Linked DNA regions of Coturnix japonica. The protein of the gene in region 4 interacts with the protein of the main gene of each other region in a pairwise test. Links are inferred from orthologs where the notes say so. Each region holds a gene or a part of one and is shown on either strand. Other genes may lie near its edges. The genes, in order: HTT, CCNDBP1, ELOA and CUL5.

Evidence for each region.
Region 1: the proteins of CUL5 (region 4) and HTT interact in binary tests that used the Homo sapiens proteins (3 or more experiments, as listed by UniProt). The link is inferred for Coturnix japonica from reciprocal best matches to the Homo sapiens genes CUL5 and HTT.
Region 2: the proteins of CUL5 (region 4) and CCNDBP1 interact in binary tests that used the Homo sapiens proteins (3 or more experiments, as listed by UniProt). The two-hybrid records come from large-scale screens. The link is inferred for Coturnix japonica from reciprocal best matches to the Homo sapiens genes CUL5 and CCNDBP1.
Region 3: the proteins of CUL5 (region 4) and ELOA come close enough for resonance energy transfer, tested with the Homo sapiens proteins (3 studies listed by BioGRID). The link is inferred for Coturnix japonica from reciprocal best matches to the Homo sapiens genes CUL5 and ELOA.

What each region holds. Positions count from the first base shown.
Region 1 is NC_029519.1:74,626,097-74,634,080, reverse strand, and holds the start of HTT (huntingtin), read left to right. Parts: upstream 1-1,201; 5' UTR 1,202-1,401; coding exon 1,402-1,502; intron 1,503-5,920; coding exon 5,921-6,004; intron 6,005-6,422; coding exon 6,423-6,543; intron 6,544-7,984.
Region 2 is NC_029535.1:5,928,153-5,936,342, reverse strand, and holds the start of CCNDBP1 (cyclin-D1-binding protein 1), read left to right. Parts: upstream 1-2,774; 5' UTR 2,775-2,882; coding exon 2,883-2,949; intron 2,950-3,045; coding exon 3,046-3,105; intron 3,106-3,601; coding exon 3,602-3,681; intron 3,682-4,339; coding exon 4,340-4,421; intron 4,422-4,842; coding exon 4,843-4,939; intron 4,940-5,959; coding exon 5,960-6,033; intron 6,034-6,336; coding exon 6,337-6,413; intron 6,414-6,864; coding exon 6,865-7,118; intron 7,119-7,653; coding exon 7,654-7,714; intron 7,715-8,190. Other genes in the region: ZNFX1 (NFX1-type zinc finger-containing protein 1), read left to right, coding at 1-2,069. UniProt on the Homo sapiens protein: May negatively regulate cell cycle progression. May act at least in part via inhibition of the cyclin-D1/CDK4 complex, thereby preventing phosphorylation of RB1 and blocking E2F-dependent transcription.
Region 3 is NC_029538.1:4,895,507-4,903,657, reverse strand, and holds the start of ELOA (elongin-A), read right to left. Parts: upstream 5,420-8,151; 5' UTR 5,310-5,419; coding exon 5,217-5,309; intron 3,655-5,216; coding exon 3,598-3,654; intron 2,961-3,597; coding exon 2,842-2,960; intron 2,045-2,841; coding exon 829-2,044; intron 1-828. Other genes in the region: RPL11 (60S ribosomal protein L11), read right to left, coding at 6,080-6,109, 6,502-6,612, 6,805-6,936, 7,323-7,429, 7,723-7,873. UniProt on the Homo sapiens protein: SIII, also known as elongin, is a general transcription elongation factor that increases the RNA polymerase II transcription elongation past template-encoded arresting sites.
Region 4 is NC_029516.1:161,307,396-161,313,933, reverse strand, and holds part of CUL5 (cullin-5), read left to right. Parts: coding exon 1-27; intron 28-640; coding exon 641-764; intron 765-1,476; coding exon 1,477-1,652; intron 1,653-1,741; coding exon 1,742-1,903; intron 1,904-2,588; coding exon 2,589-2,707; intron 2,708-3,640; coding exon 3,641-3,764; intron 3,765-4,927; coding exon 4,928-5,122; 3' UTR 5,123-6,538. UniProt on the Homo sapiens protein: Core component of multiple cullin-5-RING E3 ubiquitin-protein ligase complexes (ECS complexes, also named CRL5 complexes), which mediate the ubiquitination and subsequent proteasomal degradation of target proteins.

The DNA.
Region 1 (7,984 bases), on a different chromosome or scaffold from region 4:
CATGGAGATGAGGAAGTTGTGCTATATAATTTAAAGTGACTAATATTACTAGCTTGGAGATTTCACTTGGAGAAGTGTGCAAAGGGTAAGGAGATGAAAGCAAAGCACTGTGGTATGAGAAACATAATATGAATTTTGTTCATGATTTTTCATAGGATGCAGATGAGAGATGGCAGCAGGTTGTATTTACTGCTGATGTAGACTTTTATTTCGATGAAGCTATAATTAGAAATAGAGTTTCCTGTTCAGAATGCCTTCATTTCACCTCTGTGAATTCAGATCCTAGCTCTGTTACATGATTTTAATAGCAGCGAGACAATCCAGCAGCCCAACTGCTTTGTTCTGTTGGTGTGAGATACAGGAAGATCTATCAGTTCTGTGGAGCTGTTTCAATGAGATCAATCCTTCTTTGTGGCTTTTGTTTCCAAACATTTGTTTCTGTAAGTCTTAATGTCTGCTTGTGTGTACCTCATGAATCCACATACAGGTAACTTTCCTCATGCTCCACATACGTCCAAACCACCACAGTTCCTTCCATTTATAGCCATGTTGACTGTTAAATGTGTTAGCTCCAGAACCACTCGAGTTAATTGTTGTATGAGCTGTTTTCCTGGATGTTCTACCATTGTTACTCTTGAAATAAAAGCAGAACACTGCCACATCTCTCAAACACACCTATTATTGTCTTATGTGCTTTGTTTAGCAGCTCTTTCACGGTAGCCGGGGTAGGTAAAGTTGTCATGAAAACAATTAAAATTACAAGTTGTTGAAATAGAAATGATTGCTGATTCTGTTGTCTCAGCAGCTATAGGTACATTAAAGCAGAGGTTGTACTTCAATCCATTATTTTTAGTTAAAAAAAGATCTTAATACTTGAATTCCGCTGTCTCTGAGAGAAGCAGCCTTTAAATAGGTATGTTTTATATGTGCTTTAAGAGGGCAAAAGCAGGTCCAGCATCACGAGGCTGATGCTGAGCGGCCAGCGGGTCCCCTGCCAAGCACTAAGTGCTGGTTCCTGTAAGTGTTTCCCCTTTTTCCTCACAGCCCAAAATAACGCCTTAGTGCCGGTAGCGCTTGGCATCAGCTCAGCGCGATAAGGGCTGTGAGGGGATGGATGGATGGAGGCTGAGGCGCCCTTAGTGCCGCCAGCGGGCGCCCAACCCGTGCTGGGCGGAGCAACCCAGGCAGGAGCGCGGGGGCTGCTGGGCCAACCCCAAGATGGCGGCGGGGCAGCGGGGCGGAGATCGCGGCCCCGAACGGCGGCTCCCCGGCTCGGCTCGGCTGTGAGGCGCCAGGCGGCCTGTGAGGAGGGTGTGAGGGGGAGAGGAGGGACAGGCGGAGAGTCGGGAGCGGGAGGAAGGACGAGGGCGCTCGCCTGTGAGAGGGCGGGCCGGAGCGGCGATGGCCACCATGGAGAAGCTGATGAAGGCCTTCGAGTCGCTGCGATCCTTCCAGCAGCAGCAGGTGCCGGCCGTCATCCCCGAGGAGCCGACGCTGAGACCGTGAGTGAGCGGAGCGGGACGTGGGGTTGTGGCAGCGGGCGGACGAGTCCGGAGGTGCCGCCTGTGTTTGTGGCTGTTGAGGTGGCTGCAGGTCTCTGGGTGAAGGTTTGTAAACGCTGCAGCCTTGTGAACTTAAGCCTTGTTTGACTCAACATGAGCCAGCAGTGCGCTCTGGCAGCCAGGAAAGCAAATGGGATCCTGGGCTCCATGAGGAGAGGGGTGGTCAGCAGGGATAGGGAGGTGATTGTCCCTCTCTACTCGGCTCTTGTGAGGCCCCATCTGTTGTACTGTGTCCAGGTGTGGAGCCCTCAGTACAAAAAAGACATGGAGATTTTGGAAAGGGTCCAGAGGAGGGACAGGAAGATGATCAGGGGGCTGGAGCACCTCCCCTATGAGGACAGGCTGAGGGAGTTGGGTTTGTTCAGCCTGGAGAAGGTTGCGGGGTGACCTCATTGCAGCCTTTCAATACCTGAAGGGAACTTACTCCCAGGAGGGGAGTAAACTCTTCGAAAAGGCTGATAATAGCAGGACACGGGGAAATGGTTTGAAGTTAAAAGAAGGAAGATTTAGGTTGGATGTTAGGGGGAAGTTCTTCACTAGGAGAGTGGTTAGGCCCTGGAACAGGCTGCCCAGGGAGGTTGTGGATGCCCCGTCCTTGGAGGTGTTCAAGGCCAGGTTGGACGGGGCCCTGGGCAACCTGATGTAGTAAAGGTGTATGTTTGGTGGCCCTGCCAGGCAGGGGGGTTGGAACTACATGATCCTTGAGGTCCCTTCCAACCCGGGTCATTCTGTGATTCTGTGAAAAGATCTTAAGTTTAGCTTAAAATCTAGGATTTGTCTGTCTTTAAGGAATGGATGTAGATAACTGCTTATGGCAGGCTTTGCTTGAAGTCTTGCGTTGTCACGTGTTTTGAGCTCCAAGAGGAAATAACACAAATGTTTCTGCTATCTCTTTGTGTCCTTAGATATTAGGGTTGGAGGCACTGAAAAGATGTTTGTTCCTATCTGCGCAATGCTCTGGTTTCAAGTCAGGGAACCTGCAGCTTTGCTGGAGGCCAAGGAGCTGTTCAGTGCCCCAGTGCTGCCTGTCGGCTTTGCTTTCTCTAAAAATAACTTTTATTGAGCAGGTGAAAAGGCACTAAGGACTTTAGTGCACTCGGTAAGTGAGTCACACTGTTGCTGTTTCTCCAGACACGAGGGAGACAGGAGGAACACAAGGGCTGAGGAGCAGGTAGCTTCAAAATTGACAGTTTCAGGTGCTTTTGGCAGAGCTGATCCACAATGGAAGCTGGGCTCTTGGCCACCTGCTCCCACAGTACGGTTTGAGACAGATGCCAGCTGGATTTGCCACGGTTCATACTGCTTGGACACTCTCACCTCAAACACTTTCATTGTGTCATTGATACTCTTGGGGACACAACAGATGAAAAACCTTATTTTCTTCATAAGCCAATTGTTTTCATATACCTCAGTGTTTACAGGGACTAATTGCTCTTTTATTTTTTGATTGTACTATGATTTTGCATGGCATGGAGAATAGGTGGACGTCTATTTCCAGTCTTTACTGTGCATAGCAGAAGAAAATCTAAGCAGATATTGCTAGGATAGATCATCTTATTTGAAAAGAAAGGCTTGAAAATAATTTGTGATGCTTGCAGGGGGATGTTATGGTTGATTTGGGGGTTTGCATTTAGTCATACCAGAATCAAAGCGCTAAAAAATCAAGCTTGTAATTGTCCTAGTTGACTTTGTTTTTTCCTGTTTAAAAATAGACTGGTTGTTTTCAGAAAGCTGATAGTATTGCATGCCCCCAGGAGCTTTACCAATTCAGAAAGGGCACTGAGCTCCATAAAAGCCTATGAAACGATATTGTGCCAATCTTCGTTGGAGTTTCCTGAATTGTTAGTGAAATACCAGGTGACATCTTGAGCTGAACTCCTGGTGTTGGTTGTGTTTTCCATCCGATGGGTTAGAAAAGAGAAATGCCTTCTTGTGTTCTTTGCACATAGGGACCAGCGTTCATCTTAATTGTGATCCTGCACAGATAACCCTTAAATATTTAGCAGTGCTGTATGCTAACAAACTACTCTCTCCTGATGTGTAATATTTTAAGATCACGGAGGCTGGAGCTTAGAGATGGGAATTGTTTGCACAAATGTCATCGTGACAATGAATTTTGAGATCTTGATAAAATAATATCCTGGTTTTACATTTATTATTAAGGTATTGATTGAATTCAAACATTGGTAATGTGAGGGTTCTTTTCTCTCCTTTCCTCAAGGTTTTAATCAGCAGTAATCACTTATTGTGGTTTTAGTGTGTGTTACAGGCATGTCAGGTTATGGCCTCCTCTCTTTCTGTGGTTGGTTTGGCCTTCTATGAATGCTCAGATTGAGCTCTCTGTCATCATTTTGCTTCTACAAGCTTCTGCTGAGGCACCTTCTTGTCTTCCATCTCTGTTTTTTTGCTTTTTTGGACTCCTGAATTTTGGTTGGAGTTGGGTATGTTGGGTTCAACTCAACAGAGTTGAAAGTTCGGTCAATGTGATGTAAAAATTGACTTTGTTCAATGAAACAAATGAACGGATGGACTGTCATACAGCATCCTGTATCTTATTCATCTCACCTCTTGTCACAGAGCTGACCAGAATGGTGTGATAATCGCAGGTTACTTCTGCTACACATAACTACATGTAGCTAGTTCTACACATAACTAGTTTTGATTTGACCATTCTAAAGGCTGTCCTCTTGTTATTGTTTTTCCCACCTTTGGAACTGTTAACTCGTTCCGATAGTTAATTATTATAGTCATTTTAAATTGTGACCTATTTCCAGTTTGAATCATTCATTTATATTTACGTGCGGTTCTTACCCTTACGTTTGAAGCCAAGGAACTTTCCAGTAATGGGCATTTTCATGAGCACATGATACACATTAAAAGTTTTCTTTTGTCCTTCAGAAGCTGCTTTTTAGGAAGGCAAATAACAAACGGCAAATGAAGGATCCAGTGCAGCAAAGGCAGTTTGATGCTTTTCCTTCCTTCCCTTTGGATAGTGACTCAATTTCTTTTAGTTTAAATGGAATGTGCATAGTTCAGAAGTTACCATTTCAGTTTTCACTTCAATTTTTCTCTTTTCAGGCCATTTTTTAAATGATTTTTTTCAACTACCCATTTCAGAAGCGATGGACTCATGTTAGGGGAGCTCTTTGCTTACGGAAATCTGCCAGGGATCGATGTGTGCTCATCTGTTATTATTGAACATTGCTCCCTGCTTTGCCCAGGGCTATATTAGCTGAAGACGAGATCCTCTCTGAGGAATACTGAAGCTTACATTTGACAATATTTTCTTTAGATCTAATGGAAAAAATGCTGTTGTTTTGGTTTGGTTTTTTCCTCATTAGTGTTCTTTATATTTTTTGCAAGGGAGAAATAAGCAGATGATTGGGAGAAAAACTGAAAGGTTGGGATGAAATAAACCCCCATTTCCAATATGACAGAATATTATTCCAATAAAAAAATATGCTAATGTTTGAGCTGAAGATATTTCAGTTTAATTCTACAAAGCTTTGTGTCTTAACAGTGTATTTTCAGTTACTGTAATGTGTTCATTGGCTGGTCACTGTTGGCCCTTACAGCTGTGTTGACTGTGATACTGTAGTTCAGGGCTCCTGTGATCATTTTCAACTTCTACTTTAGAAATGCTTGTTTGCTCTTTGATGGTTTTGCTGTTTTTTCTTGAGACAGAAAACTCAGTGTTCAAAATACAGATTACTTATGTTCACCTGGAAAGCAAAAGCGAAGTCCAGCTCTGTGTATCTGTGCATTCACTCATCTGCGAGTCAATGAGCAGGTGCTTTTTGCAAGTACACACAGAGGTACCTTGGGCTGTGTTTTTCAGCTCCTGGGTTTCGACTAGTGAATTATTTATAAGTAATTTCCCCTTTCCTAGGGGTGGTTCTCTGACACTTAAGTTAAAAGTAGGAGACTTTGCATATAGTGAAATGAAATTTCGCAGTCGTAGTTGTGAGTCTGTCTCATTCTAGTGTTTTATTTTGTGGTTTTGTTTCCCCTAGTTCATATATTAAAATGATTGAGGATGGAGTAGGGAAGAAGCTTCTGTTATTTATGAGCTGATAGCATGTGAGAGTGGTGAGAGACTTTATACATTGGGCTTTGCACCTTTTGTAGGTATGCTTTGATTCTGTGACTTCTGTTGCTTATTCTGTGCTTGCTGCTAGTTAGCTTGGCCTTAGTGTTACTGCAAGGACACGATTGTAGACAGGTATGGACCATGCCTAGAGTTTTGCTATTTGGACAATTTCAAAATCATCTGGGGGATTGTGATGTATGGCAGGATTGCATTGATATAGTTACTGCTCACTTTTAGTCTTAGATTTATTTTAATTGTTTCGTTTTAGAAAGAAGGAACTTCTAACTACCAAGAAAGATCGAGTGAATCATTGCCTGACAATATGTGAAAACATTGTTGCTCAGTCTTTAAGGTAAGACAAAGTCTGGCTTTAATATGAATAGCAACTTCTGGTTACTAGACACATGTAGGCTGATTTTAAGTGCTCAGTTTCTGTTTAAACTGAAATGGTACAATGCTTTTTATTGCTTCTTGTTGTTTGTGTTTTTTTAACTAAGCCAAAATGTACTATTTTTCTTTACACATTGGTAGAGTGGATACTATCCTATTTCAGACAGAAAAGCCAAGGCAAAGAAGTCAAATACTGTGCCTGGTTATGTAGGGAAGGAGCAGGGAAATGATCTCCTGTCTTCTTACTAAACATCTGCTGGATCATTTCTCCCCTTGTAAAACTGTGTATATGCAGTAGAGTTCTGAAACCCCTTTATGTCTGGCATTGATGTTTGCTTTTTGCAGTGCACATTGTGATTTTCTAATACTCGTTTATTTAGAAATTCTCCAGAATTTCAGAAGCTGCTGGGGATTGCTATGGAAGTTTTTCTCCTCTGCAGCGAGGATGCAGAATCTGATGTCCGGATGGTTGCTGATGAATGCCTTAATAAAGTTATTAAAGTAAGAACTTTTAGGTATTGTGTTAACATATTCGTCTTCTTCTTGATGCCATGTTACATGTGAAATCACACTTACATTCTTTTAATTACTTACTCTTGATAATCTCTTGTAATGCAAGAGTAGGCTTTAGGAAATTCTATATGTCTTCTAAGGAGAGATTTTTATGCATGGAGTTACATAAATTTTATATCAGATGAAGGCATTTGAACATGTCTCTGTGCTAATTCATTGCTCAGATATTTTTTGTTCAGTGATTCATTAACTCTGTTCTCTTTAAGTCAGTTAAAGATCATTTTGGGATGGGAGGAATACTCCTTTGTTTTGTAAGCATGAAGTTACGTAGTATGTAAGAAAGCTAAAAATATTACTGGAAAGCTGACTGTAAGATGTTATGACGCTTTCCAGACTAATGGCATACTGTAATTCTGGTAGTGCTTTACTGAGACTTGGCAGAGGAGCTTTTAAGCATAATTAGGATGAAAGCAGTGTTCTGGAGTCTGTTTATTACCACGCTGCAAGCCAGAAACAAGGACTCGGTGCAGACAGCAGATGGATATTGATAGAAGGTCGGTCAAGGTCAAATTATGGATTCAACATACAAAATGAACCTTATGTGGAACTGATGTGAGCTGCTGCTTCCAGAACAGATTTACCTTCACCTGTCCTTTCTTTATTTTTTCTTCCTGTGTAATGTGCCTGCATCATTAATCTAGTTGATACGAAACGAAGTGCTTTATGAATTTGAAAGTAAGAGTTTTCTTAGTTAGTTAGCAGTTATGGCCTCCACATTAGCACTTGCCATGTAAGATTTTATAGTTATGAGTAATGCTCTGAAAATGTGAATTTAATGGTTGATGGTCAAAATGATGGATAGGAGACTAAAAGTCATTGAATAATAGGACTAGGAATAAAGAATCAAAAAGTCCAGAAAACATGCTAATGCATAAAAGAGGGGTTCTCAAGGGCTATTAAAGGTTGTGGTACAAATGCAGCCTCAGTTTGGGATACACCTACCTTACTGTTTGAAGGTGGGGGTGTATAGCAGGGAAGAACTCCCACTGCTTGCAAGCACTATTCTTGTATTTCAATAGTCTGTTCATGAATATCTATTACTGGCTGTTGCCAGAAGGCATGGTCAGTTGGCTGTACCTGTGGTCTGATGCCATATGGCCTCTTTTGGGCAGATTGAGGTCAAGTAGCTAATACCAACTAATTTAAATACCTATATTATAGTTTAACTTGTGGGATTGTCTATGTTTCTGTTTGTTCTTTGTGTAAAAGGTGAACGAATGTCTCTTGTAAAACCAGAATGTGTTAAATACAGGATAACGGAGAGAGAATGGCTGATTTGTGTTTTTAAAGCTGTTTTATTACAAGTGCAATTTTATTCCTTTAAAGTGCCTCCGCTCTGATACAATGTATTGACAATGTATTTTATTGC
Region 2 (8,190 bases), on a different chromosome or scaffold from region 4:
AAGGGCTGTATTGTATTGGAAATATGAGAATGCTGAGCAAGGTGCCTCTCTGGAGCAAGATCATTCACACACTGAGGGAGAAAGGTAACATCGGCCGCTCACTGACGCTTTGCTGTCAAAATCACCCTGAGACCATGACTCTGGTATCCACAGCAGCAGACTTCAGCAAAGTCCCAGAAGGAGGCTGTAGTCATCCCTGTGAATTTAGGTTGGACTGCGGACATGTTTGCACAAGAGCATGCCACCCATACGATTTACAGCACAAAAAGTATCAGTGTCTGAAGCCTTGTCAAAAGGTGCTTTGTACAGAGGGGCATCGCTGTCCACAGTTATGTTATGAGCCATGTGGACCATGCATGGTAATAGTAGAGAAAATGGTTTCTAAATGTGGCCACCTGCAGATGATGCCATGCTCTTGTCCAGAAAGTAAGTTTATTTGCCAAGAACCTTGCCAGAAAAAATTAAGCTGTGGGCATACATGCAACAAAAGCTGTGGGCAGGAATGTAGTACTCGGTGTCCTGAACTGGTTACAGTCTCTCTGCAATGTGGCCACAGCCAGAAAGTTCGATGTTGGATGACTGATGAGATGAAATATCATAAACCTATTGAATGTATGGCTAAGTGCACTGTCAAACTGGAGTGTGGCCATGGATGCTCAGGTTCCTGTCATTCCTGCTTTGGAGGAAGATTTCATGAGCAATGTAAGAGCCCATGCAAGCGCTTCTTAATTTGCTCCCACAAGTGTCAGCAGCCTTGTACTTCAGAATGCCCTCCCTGTCAGCTTGACTGTCAGAACCGCTGTGTCCACAGCAGATGTAAAAAGAAATGTGGAGAGCGCTGTTCTCCATGCGCAGAGCCATGTGAGTGGCGATGCCAGCACTATCAGTGCACCAAACTTTGCCATGAACCATGCAATAGGCCTCGATGCAATGTACCATGTACCAAGCTGCTGCGCTGTGGTCATCCTTGTATTGGATTCTGTGGAGAGCCCTGCCCAAAAAAGTGCCTTGTTTGTGACCGTGAGGAGGTTACCCAGATCTTTTTTGGCTTTGAGGATGATGAGGATGCACGATTTGTACAGCTTGAAGATTGTGGCCATGTCTTTGAGTCTCAGGGCCTTGATCGTTATATGGATGAAGATGATGAAGCCATCAAGCTGAAGGTGTGCCCTACCTGTCAGACACCGGTCAGAAAGAGTTTGAGATATGGCACTATGGTGAAAAAGCATCTGGCTGAGATAGAGAAGGTGAAAGAGAAAATCCAAGGCCCAGCATGGAAAATTGTGTCAAGCAGACAAAGACTAGAGGCTGCGCTCGCAAGTAAGAGTGTTCTGAGGAAGAGCCTACTCGCTAAGTACCTCGTGTTGGAGGATAAGCTGAATTCCTCTGATCTTTCCATAAGGAGCACTGCATTAATTGAGAATCTGATTAACTTCTATGAACGTATAGCTGACCTAACCAGTTCTCTGGGCAAAATTGATTCAAAAGAGCAAAAAGGGCTGAAAAAGCGTCTAGACGAAATCCAGGAGTGGCTGGATAAGCCACGCCTCGGTTTTACACAGCAGGAGCTCATGGATCTGCAGGCTGAGATCCAGAGATTGACCTACCTACAGGACCTGTTGTCAAGGTGTAAAGCCGTAAGTGGGAAGATCACTGTGACCGTTGCAGCAAAGATTGCCAAGGTCCGTGAGATCTTGGAAGGGACAAAAAGGTTTACAGAGAAGGAAGAGGCTGCAGTGAAAGCTGAGCTGAAGCTTCTCAAGGCTGCCCTGCCCCTGTCGGGATTGGGGATCACTGAGGCTGAGAGAGTGCAGATTGTCAGCGCTATGGGCCACCCGCGTGGCCACTGGTTCAAATGCAAAAATGGGCATGTCTATGTGATAGGGGACTGTGGGGGGGCGATGGAGAGGAGCACGTGCCCTGAATGCCACGAGGTCATCGGGGGTATGAACCACACTCTGGACAGCACGAACAGCCTCGCTTCGGAGATGGACGGAGCGACCCACGCGGCCTGGTCCGAAACAGCCAACAACCTGCTCAACTTCCAGGATCTCCAGCGCCTGCTGTAGCTGCTCCAACCCTGCCTCTCTGCCTGAGGGTGCAGCGCTCATTCCTTGGCTGTTCACTGCTGCCTCTGTAATCACAGAACCACAGAATGACCCGGGTTGGAAGGGACCTCAAGGATCATGTAGTTCCAACCCCCCTGCCTGGCAGGACCACCAAAGATACACCTTTACTAGATCAGGTTGCCCATGGCCCCGTCCAACCTGGCCTTGAACACCTCCAAGGACGGGGCATCCACAACCTCCCTGTGCAGCCTGTTCCAGGGCCTAACCACTAGTAAAGAACTTTCCCCTAACATCCAACCTAAATCTTCCCTCTTTTAACTTCAAACCATTTCCCCGTGTCCTGCTATTGTCAGCCCTTTCCAAGAGTTGACTCCCCTCCTGGCAGTAAGTTCCCTTCAGGTACTGAAAGGCTGCAATGAGGTCACCCCGCAACCTTCTCCAGGCTGAACAAACCCAACTCCCTCAGCCTGTCCTCATAGGGGAGGTGCTCCAGCCCCCTGATCATCTTCCTGTCCCTCCTCTGGACCCTTTCCAAAATCTCCATGTCTTTTTTTGTACTGAGGTCTCCACACCTGGACACAGTATGGATATAATCAATAAAACGCATATACATTGTACCCAACACCGCCCTTCCTTGCCGGGGTAGCGGGCGGGACTGGGAGGGTTTATCTAACGGGGCGGAGCCGCCTGTTTTCTGCCGTCCTCCGGAAGGGGATGTGGCGTACAGCAGCCGACGGGCTGCCGTGCTGTTAGTTGTTGAGCCGGGCCGCAGCTGCCGTCCAGCCGAGCCGGAGCGCGGGGTGCTCCCGCAGCATGGAGACCCGGGAGCTGCTGCAGGAGCTGTGCGGCTCAATGCGCGCCGTGCTGGCACGGGTTAGAGGTGGGAGCCGGGGCCGGGTGGGGACGGAGGCGGACGTTAGGCCGGAGTTCTGGTCCGGGCTTTCCGCAGACTGAGGCCTTTTGTCTGCATTTACAGAGGGAGAACCGGGTGAAGGCCGCGAGCCGTTCGAGCCTCCGCGCTTCTGGGATGCGCTAGGTACGGGCTGGGGAGCGGGTTGGCACCGAGGGGACCGCCGGGTGGGGCGGAGGTTGGACCGGCCCACAGCAGGGCTGGGCGGGTCCCAGGGCAGGCTGGGTCCATAGCGGGGCTGTGAGCTGCAGGGGATATCTCTGGCACTCCCCCTCAGCTCTAGTTCTGCTGCTGTTACATAGCACTATGAAGCGGTTTTTACAACGTTTTCAAAGCCTTATGGATCTTTCTACTTCCTGCCTTGGAGCAGGAGATGAATGTGATTATGGGTAGCAGTTCCAGCTAAGTAAAAAGCTGGCAGTGAACACATACCTGATGCGTGTTTGTGCATCAAAGGCACCATGGAAACTTTCTTTTGCAGTCTAATTTGGCATATATAGCTTTTTCATGCTGAGAAGGAAGAAATAGTAGTGTCAGGGAAGACACTGCTAGTCGACTTACTCTGTTCTAGTTTTACCTGACAGAGTTTCTAATTTCCTTTTTCCTGCTATATCCTCTCTAGGTCAGGCATTCAAGGCAACATCCCAGGAAGCTACAAAGCTTAGTCTGGCGTTCTCGAGACCTCCACTGCCTTCTGCAGAGGTTAGTAAAAATCTCCCACAGAGCAGGAAATTACTGTCTGTGTGACAAGTTTGAGGTATCTCTCAGTTCACTTGACTAATGCAAAGTTATCAAGTTGAGCATAAAAAAGGGACTTTATATGAGCTGTATTTTTATTTATTTTAAATGAATATTAATCAAATTCAAGAATTGCCTTGGAAACTAATTTATGTAGGTTAGGAGATGTCTTCTTAGATCTTTTTTGTTAAGCTTCTACGACTGATTGCTGATAGAGGTGAGATACTGGGCAGTGTAGATCTTTTCTCTTAACAATGAATGATGTTATGTCTTCTGTTAATTAAGAGAATATTAACGCTGTATGCGCCTTAATTTGAGAATAATTAAACTATTTTTTCCTTTCTTTACATCCCTTGAACCAAGGTGTGGTGGTCATACACCGTATATCAACTCTTGACACATGCAGTGTGCATGCAGCTCTAGCAAATTATTCTCTTCTGTGCTTGTTGGCATCACAGAAACATACTGCCTCTTCTTGTGCTGTGTTTGTTTCTCCATTATTGTGATGCTATTCCTTTTTCTTACAAAGTAACATAGATTTAAACGATTTCTTTTGAGGCTTTCTAAATGTAGTGTAGCCCTGTGATATTCCTAGTTAATCCTTCTGCCTACCTATTTTCAGAATTGTCGGAAGCTGAGTGAAGATGTCCAAAATGCTATTCTTGCAGTTGCCACAGTGTACTACTGGCTCCCCAAGGGCCAAGGTGAGAGAGTGATGGAGGACAGAGTCAGTTCCTTCATCACTATGTGAAGAAACCCGATATTTCACAGCATGTTAAATTTGGTCTGTATGGGAAAACAAGTTAATATGAACAAAGTCTTGTCAGCTGTTCTATAGACTTGCAATGTGATTATGAGTGAACTTGACAATTTGCTCTTGGAGATTTCCATCTGTGAACAAATGATAATATAGGAAGTGGTATAGTTTACCAAGCATTCATGTTTGTAAAGAGCTGAAATCTCTGTTTAAAGTCTTGTTAGAACTTTAGAATTTAGGCAATATAAATTGCTTCTGTGACTTTATACTGTGTGTCTGTGTGTGTGACTTTATACTGTGTGCCTGTCTGTGTATTCATCTATATCAGTTTCTTCCTTTTGGCAACATACTTGCTGTTTCTCAACCAGGTACTACACTTCGGAAGATGGTACGAGATGCTACCACTGAAGTATTGGAAGGAATGATCCAGCTCACAGAAACAATTCTCATTTCTCCATTGGGAAGGTAGTACTTTTCCAGCAAGAAGAAAAAGTTCCAAGTACACTCACTAAGGAGCAGCAAGTGTAGACTGCACTCATAAGGGAAGTGGGAAGGCAGGAACCGAGCATTGTTATTAGGCAAGCAAAGGCAGCAGACTCATTGGCAAGGGATTCTGATTGAACAGAACGGTGCTGGTGTTGACATTTGTCAAGCCCATAGCAACAATGTCAAACTGGAAAGCTAGGCCAACAAAGTAACAATTGGCTTTGGAGAGAGTAATTGGCATCACACACCATCCAATGATTGTCCAGCCAAGACCATTGCAATTAATTGGGTCTGAGGTCAAGCCAAGAAATCAGTGGTCTGCATTCAGATCAGAATCAAGGAGAGAATCAAGACCAGGTAGAGATATGGCTGCAACACAGCTGTGATGTAGCACAAGCAGAACCTAGTGAGAGACTCTCAGTGGAAAAGTCTGTCCTATGGTAAGGAAGGGCTGGGTCTCACTTGTAGCATTCTTCAACTGCATTTGCTTTGGTAGAGAATAGATTTTTCATCCTGTCTGTGGCAAGGAAATATGCTGGAAGTAGGATTTCCATGACAGTGCTTGATACTGTTTATACTGTTTGGCAATTCTTGCTTGTGGAGTGAATGGTGACGGTGATTGTGTGACTCTCTGTGGCTAGTTAGCGGACAACAGTCCTTCCAGGGAAATATGCAGTCTCTGTATTTACTGATTAATTCCATTGCCTCTAAGCAAAGATCAGCTGTCTCTTCTGATTTGGGTAAATACTCAAAGTTAAATAATATTTAAGCACCTTTAAAGGTTTTTGTAAGAAACTCCTGCATCTTGTTCCAACTAGTTACTAAACTCAGTAGGATTTATTAAAGCATCCTGTGCTTTGCACAGTTGTGAAATACTGGTGACAAGATAGTTTGCCAGTATTTTTTCAGCTGAGCCTCTTATAGTTTGCACAAAAATAAAACTGCCTAGCAGAGTGGTGTGGTGTTACCCTAACTTTGAGGGCCTCTGTTTTGTTTCAGCTCATCTCAGGAGCAGCTTATATCAACTGGTGGTGTGTGGGAGGCATGTGAGCAAGTGTCCAGCCTGCCACGAGGTGAGTACTATGTATGCAGACCAATGGAACTAGAATGTGTGATCTTGAAATACTGTTAACTCTTGAGAGGGGCATTTTAGGTAGTACACTGTAGGCTTACTCATTCTTCTGAACTTTAGTATTCTCTGAAGTATGGAAGCCTGCTCTGATAATTTGTAGAGCAGTACAGTATGGTTCTGAGCTTTGCAAAAAAATAGGATCCTATGATCTCAAGATCTAATGGTTGCAAACACAGATGAATGTTGGTGCAAGCTGATTTGAATCACTGCAGTTCTACAGTTCTCTTCACTTTTCCTTTTGCAGATAACCAGGCAGCAGTTGTGTCATCTCTGTCTGCATTTCTAGGTGTGGTCAAGGATGCTGTGGAAGAGATGGAAAATGTAAGGAAACCCCTAAGTCACTGGGGAACCTGCAGTGATTTCTCTGAAAGAACACAAGCATTGTTAAATATGCAGGCTTTGATTTAGGTTGGTTCTAGTATGACCAATATTATTATCTTATGCCTGTCTTACTAAGGTTTTTAAACCTGGGTCTGGTTTACCTTACAGAGAGCTTCATGGAAGCTCTGCCATGTTTGTCGTTTTAGGTTTATGTAAGAATGGGACTGTTTGCCAGGTTCTCACAGTTTGCTGTTTTGAACAGGAGTCAGTGATCAGTTTTTCTTAATCCAGTCTTACTGGAGTGAACAGAGCCTGGCAGCAGAGTTGCTGGTTGAAGAGAGGTTCCTCCATAAATGATTTGTGTGATTTTTAGACCATGTTTTACTTATCCTCCTCGATATTGCTACAGTAGATGTTAGGCTATAGGTTTTCTATACATCTGTGTTCTCAGGCTATAGTGGAAGAACGAGACCCCTACAGTGATATCATAGAAGATGAGGAGCTTGGCTTTCGGGGTAACAGAGATACCTATTGGTCAGAAGCTGACCGGAAGCTACTTGGCTCCTGCATGGGATTAATGAAGGCTTCTAAAGCTTGCCTGAAGAAGGTCTTGAATGCAGTGAAGACTTATGGAAAAGCTGACTCTCCAGATCAGATTGCTCAGCTGGATGACCTTGCAGACATTGCCAATGAGATCAGTCCAAGGTAAGCCATGTCCTGAACTGTGTGTATGGTTTTAGGCTGATGTAAGAATGGGACTATCTTCCAGGTTCTTGCAGATTGCTCTATTGAATCAGAGTCATTGATTAGCTTTTCTTACTGGAATTAAGAGAATCTGGCAGCTGAAATGCTTCATTGTTCTCCAGAACAGTTCCTGTTTTACTTGAGGCCTGGAAAATGAAATGGTAAAATCTTACTGATACTTAAGGTGTGGCCAAGTGGTGGAAACAAATAGAAAGACTGTTATATCATAGGCTGTTGAGTTTTGCATGTTAGCAAAGGAACGTGCTGCTGCTGCTTAGAGTGGAGTTGTGGCGATGACTAGAAGTAAGGTGGGAGTTGCACACAGATGCCTGAGAAGGTAATGTATGTAAAGTATCCCATGGGTATAACCAACACTGTCTCCTTGTCGTGCCATACCATACATGACTTGCATTGAGGGTGGATGTAAGATTTGGCAGGGGTCTGTGAACTGTGCAGCTGGGGCCTTCTTCCATTGCACCCCTCTCTTCTATTCTAGCGTTGATGAGCTGGCATTGAGCATGTACCCACCTATGAACCATCTGGCCGTGCGACTCAATGTAAGTTTTTGCAACCTGCATGCAGGTCTACTCACTTGGCTGTAGAGAAAGGGAGGAAAGTGAACTGGAGGAATTACATCTTCAGGAAGAGGTCTTATTACTATCTCAGTAATAAGTTCTTATGAATGAAGTGTCTCTTTTGGTTCACGTAGCTACCTTCAGGTGGAAGAGTATTCTTCTTCATCTTTACTTCAGAGAAGAGGATGTCTTCTGTTGTGTTTGCTCTATACTGTGATCCATAGAGATAACCAATGACAGTACTCAGATAACTGACGTCTAGTGCTGCCAGTATATTGCACATCTGCTTTTTTCTCTGGGTAATTTAGATTTGCTCAAATAAAGTGATCTTAACTAAAGAAGTAAATTAAAAATTCTCACAGTGTGGTTGAGCACATGCTTCACTTGTTAAGTGAAAAAACCTAGATAAATGTATACTTTCCCATACCTGAAATGTTTTATTCTGGTTCCACACATAC
Region 3 (8,151 bases), on a different chromosome or scaffold from region 4:
AAATTACTCAGCACCTTCTAATAAAAGACATCTGTCATTAAGTTCAGCACTAAAGAGCTCTGGTAGAACCCAGATCAGTTTAACAACACGAAGAACGGAAGAAAAAAACAGCACAGAAGAGACAGAAACATTTCCTTGACCTCAAACACTCCCTAATCTGTGATGCCTCCTTTCATTTTTCCACACACCTGCAAAAGATTCAGCTGTGATGGAAGAGAACATCAAACTGGAGGAAAATCTTGAACTTCTATATGAAACACTTATTAGAATGAATGGTGAGGCTGGGCTGTAAACTGCTGTTAGGATTATAAGAGCACTCATTGAGGAGAAACGTGTTTCAAAGTCAAGTAAAAAGAAAGTAGCACAGGTTTTTACACACTACTCCATACTTAGGCAACCGGCATCTGTGAGGCAATGAATATATACAGAAACATTACTTTTTTTTTTTTTTCAAGCTTTCACAAAGGAAGTTCAGGCTTCTAGAGTTCTCCCATTTCTCCCCACTCCTGGGGCCCAACTCATCCAGTTAATAAAACTGCAGTACTGACAAAGAAAAAAAAGTTAGCTCCACTCACAGCTCCAGCAGAGTCCCACCCCAGCAGCACACAGAGACGCCTGTGGGGCTGCTCTGCAGCAGGTGGGTGAGACACAGCATGTCCCAGCAGGAGCCTGGGGCCACCAACCGCCCTGATGAGACACCTCAAGCACAGCCTGATGGGGGACGGCCCAGCACATAAAAGGGGAAAACCAGTAAACACCGGATAGCTGAGGACTAAGGGCAGCTGATTCCACCTTTTCTGCTCACTTTCAGATCCTCCAGAACCTTACCCTGTTTGGTTTAGGAGTCTCTGCTTGTTTCTTCTCTGCTTTTTTCTCATTTGTCCGCTTGTGACTTGGGCTCTTGCGACTCGAGCTGGAGCTCTTGGTACTGGCTTTGGATCCATTCTGTTTGCTGTGCCCTTGATCTTTCTCCCCAGCTGACACAGAGGGTTTGGCCACTTTCTTTTTCTTTTTCTGGGGCTGGTCATAGCTGAGGTATGACTCAAAGGACATAGTAGGTTGTTCAAACTCATCCTCCACTTCCCCATCCCCAAAACTTGAGGACAAGTCAGCAGATTTTTTGTCCAACTCAGAGGCTTTGTGCTTCCCTTCAGACGTTTTAAAGCTCCCAGAAGTCCCCTTGTCTTTAATTCTATTTGAGGAGTCACTCTCAGCTTTCTGTTTCTCCCGCTCTGTGTTAGAAGTCTCCACGCTTGGCTTGGACTTCCCTGGTTTGCTTTTTTCAGAGTTTTGATGTTTTCGCTTCTTAGTGTGGTTGTCCATAGACTCTTCCAAGTGTGGCTGTGTGTGCAGCTTCTCTTTTCTGGAAGAGCTATTTTCTCGGGTTTTCTCCTTCTTAGTGCTATCTGACATCCTCTGCTTTTCCTTGCTGCCCCCTACCACGGGGCTTTCTTGGAGATGCTCTTTAAATGAGGTCTTGTGCAATTTTTCTGGGCTGATGGCAGAGGCTTTGTTCTCCCCTCGGCCATCAAGTCGCTGCTTCTCCTTGTGAGAAGACTTGTGCTCTTTGCTTCGACTGGCATTCCCTTTGTCATGGAGATCACCAGGGCTCCTCTCCCAGCTTTCCCCCAGCTTCTCCTGAAAGCCATGGCCTTTACTGACTTTCTGATGAAACACTGTTGGTTCTTCCTGCTCATCAGAGGCATAAGGGTCTGTGTACGTATCCTGAGGGCTCTCACTTGGCTCAGGTGACACAGCTTGTCCATAGTCTGAGTACTCCTGATCTGAAGAGAGCACTGGGGAAGATCTGTCCCATCTCTTATCCTCTTGGCTGCTACAGCCATAAGCCTCATGAGATTTTTCAGGCCCTAAATACCTTCTGGACTTCTTTTCCCTATGATCTGGGCTGTAGAGCTGGCTGCAGGAAGGCTGGAAAGGCTCTGAGTAGTCCTGGTCGTGTTCCTCATCCTCCTGGGGAGAAGGTGCTTGTCTTTTCCTTGAGCTGCTCCTCTCATAGTCACAGTCTTCAGAATCTACATTATTTCTAAAAGGATGAGAAAACAAATTACTTAGACTGAAATTTCCCAGTATGAATGAGCAGAGCAATAAGGATGGGAATCTCTTACAGAGGACTAAAATTGCATTTAGAAGTTTTGTGGCAATAATACCACCAATTCTCACTAGCTCAGCAACATTCAGGGATTTAGGAACCACATTTCTGACACAGGAATTAAGCATCTTTTATAAGGACTAACAACTTCACAGTTCACTGAGCAAGCGGAGGCAGAGGTGTACAGAGATGTCTCCATGTCACATGCTTCTGGCTGCACAGTGTGTAAGGAAACAGGAGCTCCCAGTTCACCCATTAAAACATGCAGGGACACCACACTACTATGTTACTGCTACACAGTGCTAGCATTAGCTTTGGTTTCTGTGGCATCTCTACACACAGAAGTCTTCTTTCAAAGCAAGCCACTTCCTTTACTTGCGCCTAAAACTTCCTCTCTTTGGCATCATAAGTGGGAAGTGAACAGATTACATCTTTTGCTTTATTAGAAGCCCTTTCTTGGCAGCTACTGCTAATCTCTTCATCAAACTGCAGCTTCTTGGAGGTTGGTCCCTGCCTTCACTCTGAACTGCAGCCGTCAGCAACACAGCACTGCGGTGAGCACAGGGAGGAGGTCTGTTCCAAAATAAAGCAGAAGCCCCACACAGCACACTGTATTACAGGTTTTTCCAGAGCCTTCATTTGTTTCCACGACCAGAGTAGTTTGCAATCTACACTGCAAAAATTAAAAGAGAACAACTTTTCCATTGAGATAACTGAGCAGGTTTACTCACCTGTCTGCCTCCTGGGAGACCGGCACCAGCTTCTTCCACCTGGCCACAAGGTTCTTGGCGAAGTCTCCCACCAGCTCGTGCTTCCGTAAGCTGTTCACTGTCTTTCCAACGCCTGTCTCCTTCAGGAGAGAGAAAAGATAAAAACTAACCTCAGCAAAGCAGTCAGCATTCACACCTCCTCCACTGAGCTTCCTGCAGTCAGCCTGCTACCTATCATGTCTAGGTCAAAGTGAGCTTCCTTAATCTAACAACAAAGATATCACACGTAGCACATTGTGTTTGCAGCAGACATTGTATAGCTTACTGCAGTTCTGTAAATTAGTGAAGATATAACTCTGCTTTAAGTTGAAGGCTACTCAATTGGTTTAATAGACTAAGTTATTATTTACCATAACTGTTTGAAGACAGAAGCCGGTCACTAATAGTTCCAAAGATTCACAGTTCCTAATGCAATGCAGCTTCCGTCACCATTAGGAACTGCTCCGACTCACAAATCCCGACCAAACAATAAGCTTTGGAGGAGCTGAGCACCACCACCTGCCCTGCACTGCTTCACGCTGAAGCAGAAGAAGGGCTGAGGTGCTCTCTCTAACTGAGAATCCTAGAATCTCATCCATCTCAGCCATGTCTATGACATCACATTGGAGCAGGCAGCTTAGGCAGCATATCCTGCTCCAGAGAGCAGCATTTTTCTAGCAGTCAGATTCTGTAACTTGACAGACAGGATGAGAGCACAAGAGATTTCGCAGCTCTTACCACAAGAATGTCAACTGTGATGGGCAGCTCAGACAGCTTCTTCAGACTCTTCAGCAGCTGCAGAGACAAGGAGGAAAACGTTAAGACTTGTCAGACTGAAACATGTACTATGATTAGAAAGGAAAGCTCTGCACAAAGCTTGTTAGAAAGATCCAGGTGGCAGACAGCTGTTATCTTGCTCCACATCGAGTCCCTAAGAAGCCAGACTTGAGGGCCAGCTGCAAAGAAGTTATTGCCACTTGGCCTATGAGGGTCACCTGAAAAATCTTGAACTTACTCAAATACAAATTCTTCCTTTACAGAGAACTACAATTTAACTTTGGCTTACAGTGTCGGTAGCAAAGCCTTTACACAGCCCCGTGGCACATGAAGCTGAAGGGCTGGGCTGTGTGGGCATAAATGGAGCAGTACTGGTGCTTGGGCAACTCACTGAGCTGTACAGAGGCTTTTTAGCAACAGCACAGACCTACCAGCACCACCTCTTGTATTATCTCCTGCAGCTACAGCCAGAGCAGACTTGTCAGCATTCCCATTATTGTGGCACCTCTACAACCCGGCTTTGTTCAGCACTGCTGTGCCATACGCCGTATAAAGGGCTGCCTCAATCCGGAACATCTTTTACTTAAACCATTGTACTCATGCTGAAATCAGTACTGTTAGCCTAAGCAGCTCCTGTCACTCTACTGACACCACACAAGGACCCAGGAGGTTTAGGCAGCTCCACTCTTTTTGAAGGAAATGAATTATTTGTACGCGTTTGAAGAAGCAACAGAGAAAAGAGCCCATCTCGCTTAAACAGAACAACAGGATGGATCCTATTCACCACAAATTCACCACAAACCACTGCCCCATTGCTCACACGTAGGACTTCATCACTATGAGTGAAGAATTAGGTTTTCCTCCTTGTTCTGGAAGAGTTACACGTCTCAGTTCCAGCATCACGGCACTTCTCAGTGCTCACGCTGGATGCCAAGAGCTCGGCCTCCCCAGCTCCAGCTGAGCACACGGGGCCCTGGCAGCTCCGCTCCGGTGCTGTGTGAGGTTGAGGGTGGAGGAAGGAGACAGACAGGCACTGGGCGCCCAAACGGAGCCAGCCAAGCGGCAGAGCTCCCTGCGCCCGACCCACGGGGTTCAGCCGCTCCGTGGGTGCGTGTCCAGGATCAACCCGGCTCCGCACGGAGCTGCTGCCGCGTCCGCACTGAATGAAACGCGGCCCCATCGGCTCCGAACAGCCGCTGCCCCGCGAGGCGCCACGTCCCGGTGCCGGGCGCAGCAGCACGTGCCGGGAGCACAACAAGCCCCGGCTGCACCGCACGCAGCTCCCGACAAGTGGCTCCGGGCCCCGAGCACGGCGGCTGTCAGCGGGCACGGCAGCAACGGGACGGGCCGAGAGCTCGAGCACGGCCAGCACCGACCAAAGGCCCGGCCCGAACCGAGCGGCGGGGACAGCCCCGAGCGGAGCGGCCCGACCGGCCCGGACAGACCCGGACGGCCCCGACCGGCCCCGACCGGCCCTGACAGCGCGGCCCGAGCGGAGCCGGGACCCCCGAGCTCCGGATCAGGCCCCGACCCCGCCACTCCCGCCCCTCGCGGCCGCGCCGGCCCCGTCCCTCCCGCACCCGCCGTGTCACCGCCGGCACCTTCTTGGGATCCGCGCTGCCCGCGAGCCGAGCCTGCAGCCGGCCCACAACTTCCAGCACCGACTCCGCCATGTTTAGTGCTGGACGGGCCGCGGCGGCGGAAGCGGCTTCACCTCTCGCTCGCCACACGGCGCTTCCCGGCCGTCGCCGCCATCTCTGCTGCGGGCAGGAAGCGGAAGCTGCGCGATGCTCCCCCCGTCGGCGGCGGCCATGGCAGGTAAGGGCAGAGTTCAATGGGTGCCATCTTGGGGCCTGGCGTGGCGCTGGGTGCGCCATCTTGAGTGCTGGCAGTTCGGAGCTCGGGCGGCGCGGAGCGTCCCGAGGGCGGAAACGGGCGGGAGGAGCGGGGGAACGAGAACGGGACAAGGGATGGGGCTGAACTGGAACACAGAGCTGAGCTGAGAATTACCGTTATGGGCTGCACAGAGCGGGCACAGCCTGCGGGGGGTCGAACAGGGCTCATGGGGTGTGTGTGTGGGGGGCACAGACCCACCAAACACCGCGGGGTTCTCAGCGCTGGGCTTTAATCCCCATCAGCCGAAGGCAGCTCAAACACGGGCTGGGAACCAGCAGCCAAAGGGGCTGATGGTCAATAAGGCTCCAGCTCCCTCCATCAGCCCAGACACATTAACACATATTAACCCATATTAACCCATATTAACCCATATTAACCCATATTAACCCATATTAACCCATATTAACCCATATTAACCCATATTAACCCATGGTGGTGCCCGTCGTTCTGCTCCAGCAGCTGCCCAGGTCAGGAGGAGCCCCCATAAAATACACGACAGAAACTGGGGTTAAAAAACATTTATTTGCTTTTTGGTAACAGGAGCCGCTTATTTGCCAGGAAGGATGATGCCGTCATACTGCGAGAAAACCAGAGAGAACACAGTGAGAAAGCAGACAGGTAAATGGGGAGAGGTACAGGGCTGCTGGGGGAAAAACATGACCACGTTCATTCCAAGACAATGACATTAAACACTTCTCTGAGCCGAGCAGCGAATTGCATTGCCACCTTATGCTTATTTCCAAGGCAGGGGGCTCTGGGTCAGCACTAAGGCCACAAACCGGTCAAGCAACACAAGGCGGCCCCTTCAGATGTCAATCTAACCCGAACACACTCATCCCTTTCACAGCCCCACTGTCTGGCCCAGTGACTCGTTCCATTCCTCCCATAAGGACGATAAAGCAGTGCAGTATTTTGCTGATACCCGCCAGGAACCTTGCAGGATAAAAACTAAATAAAGTTGGACCGTACCTTCTGCTGAAACCAGCGCATGGCTTCTTCCTTCCCAATCCTGTGCTTGGCTCCAATGTTGCCAGTCCTGCGCTTCTTGTCAGCAATGCTGAACCCAGGCCTGCCCAGCACCTGGCAGGAGACCAATAGCACTACCTCATTCCAGCCTTTACTTAAAGAAACCTTTCCTTAACAAGGGACAATCTACAACTTCCAGGTCAACAACATCTTATTCTGTGAGCTATGGTCAGGACTTAAAGCACTATAGCAGCAATTGGAATCTAGTTAACTGAGCAGGCAGGTGCACTGACAGGGAATACTCACCACATAGAAGTCCAAGCCATAGATGCCAATGCTGGGATCGTACTTGATCCCTAAATCGATGTGCTCCTGGATTCCAAAGCCAAAGTTCCCAGTGTCTGAGAAGTTGTTTTTCCTCAGCTCGTATTCTCGCACCTGAAACACACATTGTCAGTCGTCATTCCATCACCAACCACAAACAGGAGTTCTGCACATTCTACTAACTGCTGCCAGACCCACATGTTGGTAAGCATTTAGTAATCAGATTCCAATCCCACGGCCTGCTTGGGAATCACAATAACACAGAAAAACTCAAAAGATGCAGCAGCTGAACCAGTGAGTCTTAAACACACACACACACCAAGTAAAGAAATGGTGCAATCTCAGCCCGTGTACCAGGGATACCAACCCAGCCTCCACATCTGTGACTGTAACTAAATCAGATGCAACATTTCAAAGCTTTCCATCATTCTTCCAGCTGCCGACAGTTCAAGTTGTTTTTTCATTTCTCCACACAGGATCCAGCCGGGCCCCATTCTCACCTTCAACCCCTTCTCCAAGATCTCTTCTGCTTTGGCCCCACGAACCGTGCAATGAACTGCAATCTTCTCATTTCTCCTGATTCCAAAGGACCTCACCGTGTACCGAGCTGCAGGCAGAACAGTGACACTCAGGACGCCATGCAAACAACTTCCAGGGGACTCAGAGCTTGATCGAGACCAAACAAGATACTTCAAAGGAAATAAAAAGAGCCAAGAATCTCACATTCCCTCTGCGGGGACAAGGGCAGAGATACAGGACTGGAGATTTTAAAGCTGCCGTCACGGAGCACTGAGCGCCCACAGACACACACAGCACAGACCGTGACCTCGCACTGTGCCCAGCACCGCCCCCCCGCAGCCCCAACACGGCGACACTGGGCACAAGGCGCAGCCCCGTCACCTTTGGAGAACACGGGGGTCTGTCCCGTCAGCTGCTCCAGGACTTTGGCCGCCCGGGTCAGCCTGTCCCCGCTCTCCCCGACGCAGATGTTGAGGCACAGCTTGCGGATGCGCAGCTCTCGCATGGGATTCTCCTTCTCACCCTGGTCTTGCTGCGAAGAAACACCGGATGGGATGAGCGCAGCCCGCACCGCGTGACCGGCGGCTGCAGCGTGCGGACAGCGCGGCCCGTACCGGGATCAGCCCGGGAGCGCCCGGTGCCGCAGCCCCATCCCGGCACGGCGCAGCTCGCGGCCCGGCCCGGCAGCCGCAGCCTCGGGGCAGCTCGGGGCAGCCCGCCGCCCGTACCAGCCCGTACCAGCCCTACCGCCGCCCACCGACCTCCCCCGCCCCCCCCGTACAGGCCGCGGCCCGGCCGAGCCCCGCCATA
Region 4 (6,538 bases):
GAGGAGAATATGGTGGAGTGGCTCCGAGTAAGTAGCCTTTTGTCTTCCTCTACTTGGCTGTTCCTGTTGCGTGTGGTGTTATTTCTCACTTTTAAACTCTTTAATTCCCACTCCTTGCTTCAGCAGGTTCTGTTTTAAATAGCAGGCCATGCAGGTCGTCTGACACTTCCATTTAATTATGAAACTTTATGAAAGTAGAACAGCTGAGCTTTTCTTTTTTTTAAGATGATTGTTGATCCTAAGAGTGATAATTATAGTTCTAAAATATTTCATGTATCTGTAGGCTTCATATTTTCCCGATGCAAATGAGCAAAATGCAGTGTACTTGTTGTTTAAGCATGTAAATAATTTGGTGGTCTAATTGTGAAATTTTATGTAAATTAGAATATTATTTGAACGCCTTCATTCATTTATTTCTTAATGCATGCGTATGTTCTTAAGCACTTGGATTTCATTAAAACAATCATCATATACTCTTAAGGGGAACTACTTGTGATACATGCAAAAGAACTCCTTTATATCACAGCAAAGTCTGTAAGAATGCAGTGATGCTGTCTGTGTACTTTACCACTCTTCTTTCTTTTTTGAGTTTATTATTATTCTTAGTTGTCATATTTTAGTGTTCTGTTTGTTTATACAGGAAGTAGGTATGCCAGCAGACTATGTAAACAAGTTGGCTAGAATGTTCCAGGATATCAAAGTATCTGAAGACTTGAACCAGGCCTTCAAAGAAATGCACAAAAATAATAAACTTGCTTTACCAGGTATTGTTTTCTCATATGATTTAGTGGTTTTTGTTTCTTGTGCTGCTAAAAAATCCTGTTGAGCCTTGAGTTAAAAAATTGTATCAGCTGCAGGTTGAACAGTCTTCAGAGCACTGCTACCCCTAGATTGGAATGTCTGCACTTCACTTTTCTAACAGTTGTCATTTGAGCTATATCATTCTGAAAGTTATTGGGTATTTCTTCTAGATACAGGCTCCCTAATTGTAGCTAAATTCAAGGTAGGGCTTGAATCCATCTCCAACCACATGAATGCTTTAACTGTCCCCTTCTTTTATGCCCCGATCATTCTTCATGAGTGCTTTATACTGTACTCTACCTGCCTGTAGGAGAGAGTGATGCACACTGTTAAGAATTCAAATTGCATTTCTGAGATAAATTTCCCTGATGAGAAACACTGAGAACATCCAACATTGGGCCGGCTGCTGCTGCTGCTGAAACCCCCTGAGTGGTGCTTACCAACATCAGCTGTAGAGCTGCATCACTGCAGAGGGAAGACAAAAAAGCAAAGCTTTTGATCAGTATTGCTAGTAGAAAGTCTGTGGTCCATAAATGGAGTATGTTAATAGGCAGCCACCTTGCTAGTTTCTGAAAATTCAGCCCTTCGTAATTGTATTTAGAACAGGAGAAGAATGCCTTCTGTTTGTCTGTCTGCTCTACTTGCAGTTTCATATAATCCAGTATTGTCTTACAGCTGACTCTGTGAATATTAAAATTTTAAATGCTGGTGCCTGGTCCCGTAGTTCTGAGAAGGTGTTTGTGTCACTGCCCACGGAGCTGGAAGATCTCATCCCCGAAGTTGAAGAATTTTATAAAAAGAATCACAGTGGTAGAAAACTGCACTGGCACCACCTCATGTCCAATGGAATTGTAAGTCTACTTTTTGGTGCTTCAGTTTCAGTGGCGCAGAGCTTGTTATCCAGAAAACCTTTCAAGCAGAGTTGTCATTCTGTTCACAGATAACGTTTAAGAATGAGGTTGGTCAGTATGACTTGGAAGTAACAACATTTCAGCTGGCTGTGCTGTTTGCGTGGAACCAAAGACCCCGAGAGAAGATCAGCTTTGAAAATCTTAAACTGGCAACTGAACTCCCTGATGCAGAACTTAGGAGGACTTTATGGGTATTTCACTTTCTTTCGAAACAGATTTCTTCCTGAATTTTTTTGCACTCTGAAGTACGGAAATAGTATTTTTAAAGTGCAGTCAGAAAATACTTCAAAACTGAAGTGTGAACACCTTATTTCTTAATTAACCTTATTGTAACCCTGGCCCCTTGTAATACTGTTGAGCACACGCAGCCTTTACATTAATGTGTTCTCTATGCTTGGAATTACATAACGTAAGCTTTTGGAAACAGCAAGATCTTTCTGACCATATACAGCGTAAAGCACAAAGTTGTGATTGAGGTTTGTGGAGTGGGACTGGTCTAATTCTAGGAACTCTTGATAAATGTGTGTTGCTTAAAAACAATGCAGCATTTCCTCTATCAGTCTTTTAATAATTTAGCTCACAAAAGAGAAATAATGTACATCAGGCAACACCACACGCTACTTCTGTAGCCGTGAGCTTGTGCATTTTTTCTTTTTATTATTTTACTTGTGGTAACTCATTTCAGAAGGACATTTGTTAAGCTGTGTCCCATCCCTGACTTTACTAGTGACTTTGTGCTGCCCTCCAGCACCTTCAGTCAAGGTTCCTTCACTACAGCCTGCACATCAGTGAGCTATGTTCTTAAATAGTACTTGTTTCCATTTAGAAAGTCTGGTGTTTTATTTTCATTCTTTTTTCCCCCCTTTTTCTCTGTAGTCTCTTGTAGCATTTCCAAAGCTGAAACGTCAGGTTTTATTGTATGAACCTCAAGTCAATTCACCCAAAGACTTTACAGAAGGAACCCTCTTCTCGGTGAACCAGGAGTTCAGTTTAATGTAAGATGATGTTTGAAAATGAAAATAACAATGTGCTTTTTTATAGTTAAAGGAATTCACTTTAACCTTCGTCCTTGGAAGTTGTCAAGATTCATTAGGCTTTGCTGTCCTATATTTGCTTCACTTCTAGTGCTAGTCGTGCTTCTGATAGGTGGTTAAAGCAGATGACCGCCAGTGGCCCCTTCAGACAAGTGTTTGCATAGTTCTGATTTCTGTGAAGTTAAACTTCTTAAATGCCTGTAGGGATGTGGTGCAGAATTGGAGGCTCTGCCATCTTCCCGTTACTAATGAGCCCATGAGGTTTTATATAGGAAAATGCCAAGTCTGGTGCTGCTGGGGCTTAGTTTCTTGCCCGGGGATGTGGTGGTTCAGTTGTTCCTGTCATCAGGACCACAAGCTTTGGGAAATGATGTGAACACATGACAGAAGAGACAGGCTGCACAGAAGTGTTGGGGGTGACCAATGAAGAATGCCATCAGCTTTTTGCCATGCCTGCTATGATGTCTGGTTTTCTCCCTCTATTTTTTAATGCTATACAGACAGTTTATGTGATGAAAAATGAACTTGTCCCATTTCCTGAACTTTGTTATAGAAACTCCTTTGAAGAACACTAGTGTTATGTAACTAAACTGAAGTATATTTCTCTAGAAGTCTATTCTTTAAAATAGTGCTGGTAACCTTTCAATGTTGAGTACTGTCAGTTTCAGCTGATGAATTTTGTGCTAACACTGGGATGTTGGTAGTGGGCTTTTTGGATGGAGGAATTGGGATTGAATTTGGACATGTCAGCTGGTATCCCAGTCCTGCAATGCTTCTAGTCTATAAATGTCTCATACACAATGGTTCTCCTTGCTGCAGTAATTTAAATTTAATAGGAATTCTGTAATTGAAAACGTATTTTAGCCTTATTTTTATACAATGCAACTTTTTCAGAAAAAATGCTAAAGTTCAGAAAAGGGGCAAGATAAATTTGATTGGTCGATTGCAACTTACTACAGAGAGAATGAGGGAAGAGGAGAATGAAGGAATAGTCCAGCTAAGGATACTACGAACCCAGGTAAGTGTGTGTCAGAGGAACATCACAGTTCTTTTTCTTTTCTTGTGTTATTGCAGCCTCTGATTGTCAGTGAATGAAATGAATGCTTTTTAATCCCACTTGCACTTCTGCTCTATGGCTCTGATACTTTCTGAAGAGCTCATTCTGTGCGCGTGTGCGTTTGTAGTTACAGTCAGGTTTAACTCCAGGACAGCCAAGCTGTAAACTGTTTCACCTCAGTTAACACCCTGGCTGTTCTTTCAGCCAAAGGGTTAATGCCTGCATGTGCTTACCAACTGAGAACACCTTGTAAGTGCTACTCTGACACTAAGCTTGTATTTCACAAGGTATGTCTCAGGTCACCCTGACTTCTGCTCAGAGAATGGGCAGGTGAACAAACGCCAGGTTTTAGTGACTAACTCACTCTCTAGATATAAAATTCAGAGTCACCACTGACTCAGGTTGTATTTCTTGTGCATCTTGTCAGTGTTCCATTCTGTTGCTTTATCATCTTCTTTGTGAAGACAGTTCAGGATCTACTTAGGCTTAGGAATTGTGGCTTACACTTAATACCTCATTAATGCCAAATTCAAAGCCATTTACTTCATGGATTTATAACTTCAATCATGCTGTGAGCATATCCTAAATTAGCCTTTTGTACGCAGTTTCCTTTGGTTTGAGTTCTACTGAGTTCTTGGTCACAACCTGGAAGATAACAAACTCCGTGGTTTGACCTTGCAAGTAAAACGTGTTCTTATCGTGTTATTTGTTTTCTTTTTAGCATTTTTTATTTACTTTGTTCTTCGTTGTAAGCATGGGGGTATAGAAACTCACAGGAGATCTTTGTACTGTATTATTCTCAAGTTTAATCATGATAATGAACATGGGCAACTGGCTGTAATTCACAAAGGTGGAATGCTGTAATCAGAGCATGTCTTGTTTTCAAGTGGGTAAAGGTTTGGCCCTCACTTCAGGAATATATAAGCAAGAGCAGATGTTGGCCTTGCCTCATTTGAATTGGGGTGTGTCTTAAGTGCAGTATTTACGATGGCAAAATAATTCTTATATTTGATTTTTGAGGAAGAATATTTTCTTGCTGTACCAGGAGTCCCCTGTTAAAGCTGTGTTCGCTTTGTGGTTTCCACCAGACATTTCAGAATGTTTTTTCTCTCATTCCCCACCAGGAGGCTATCATCCAAATAATGAAAATGAGGAAGAAAATTACTAATGCCCAACTTCAGACTGAACTGGTAGAAATATTGAAAAACATGTTCTTACCACAAAAGAAAATGATAAAAGAGCAAATTGAATGGCTTATAGAGCACAAATATATCAGAAGAGATGAGTCGGATATCAACACCTTCATATATATGGCATAATGCGAGGACTCTGTGAGCTGCTGAGAACATAAACAGAAGGGTGCTTGGACAGACAGCTGCAACAGTTTGTGCTGCAGAAGGACCTGTTTTGACTTTCATTACGTATTAAAATCCCTGCCTTACCTTAAAGAGGACTCTATTTTGCCAATCTCATTCAGCTAGCATGATGGCATTCCCTTCATGTTGCACACTTTTAACAGCATGCTGTTTTGTGGGAAACCTGCATTCATGAAGAGCCCGTTGTGAACTTTTAAAAGTAGATTTGACTTACACCCACCAGGAAGAATACAGGTTTGGGTTTTTAGATGACCAGTACTTGCACAAGGAAAAATATTCAAATATTCATGCACTGAGGAACTGCTACTAGTTTTGTTTTGGTTTTTGTTGTTGTTTTCTTTTTTTAATGCAATTAGGACTAGAAGTAGCACTTTCACTTTTGTGTTCTGGATCAGCAGAGTCATGTACTGTCCACCTTTGATCCTTTTTGTAATAACATTTGAGAGACACATGCCTCACAAACTGATATATATTTGTTATCATTAAAATCTGTTGGCTAGAGCAGTGCTTCAATCTAGTAACTGGATTTTAATATTTGACACATAAGTGACATAAAAACAATTCCAACTCATGGGTGATACTTTTCTCCAAACAAGAGATGGTTGTTTTTAAATTGTTTTCTGTAAAGAAGTGGATATACATTATTTGTTACTTTATTTGGACAGACGATTTGGTACAATCCTTTTTGAGAAGGCAAAGCTTTCTTGAATGATATTCCACTATAAAAACAGTTTCCATAGATGGGTCTGTTATAGTGAACAGAAATATTAAGTGTATTTCCTTATACATTTAATATTTGTATGCCAGATATTTAAGTATGCTGTATATCCGAATGCATTAAAGAGCAATTGATGCACAGATTCTCAGAAAGGAGGTAACTCTCAAAAATCCCTGCATCAATTCCTCACTGGTAGCTCTCTCTGTATGGATGGATGTAAGGTTAATCATACGTTGGCTGTTTTGTTCCTTGAAAAGTCAACATCTGTGACAAACAAATGCTCTGCTTTTCATTTTGAAAGTGTCAGAATGGGAAATACAATTCTAACAGAAATGGTGAAAAGCTTAGGAAAAACACCTTGTAAGATATATGTGGAGAGAGTGCCAACATTGCACCAGGAATTTCAATTTCTTAATGTTACCTTTTCTGTTTGCAATCATCTGAAGTAGTTGTTTGGCAATGCTTGCCTCTGCTACTCTGAAATGTCCCAACGTGTCCTGGGCTGTAATAGGAATCAGTGGAGCAGAGTGCCTGTCTTGGGACAAAAGGTAAGTTGAGCCTTTCTCAGTTCTGTATGAATATTCGTATATAAATTGCAAGTGTGCGTTCTTTTTATTTTACCAGTTCAAATACAATATCTC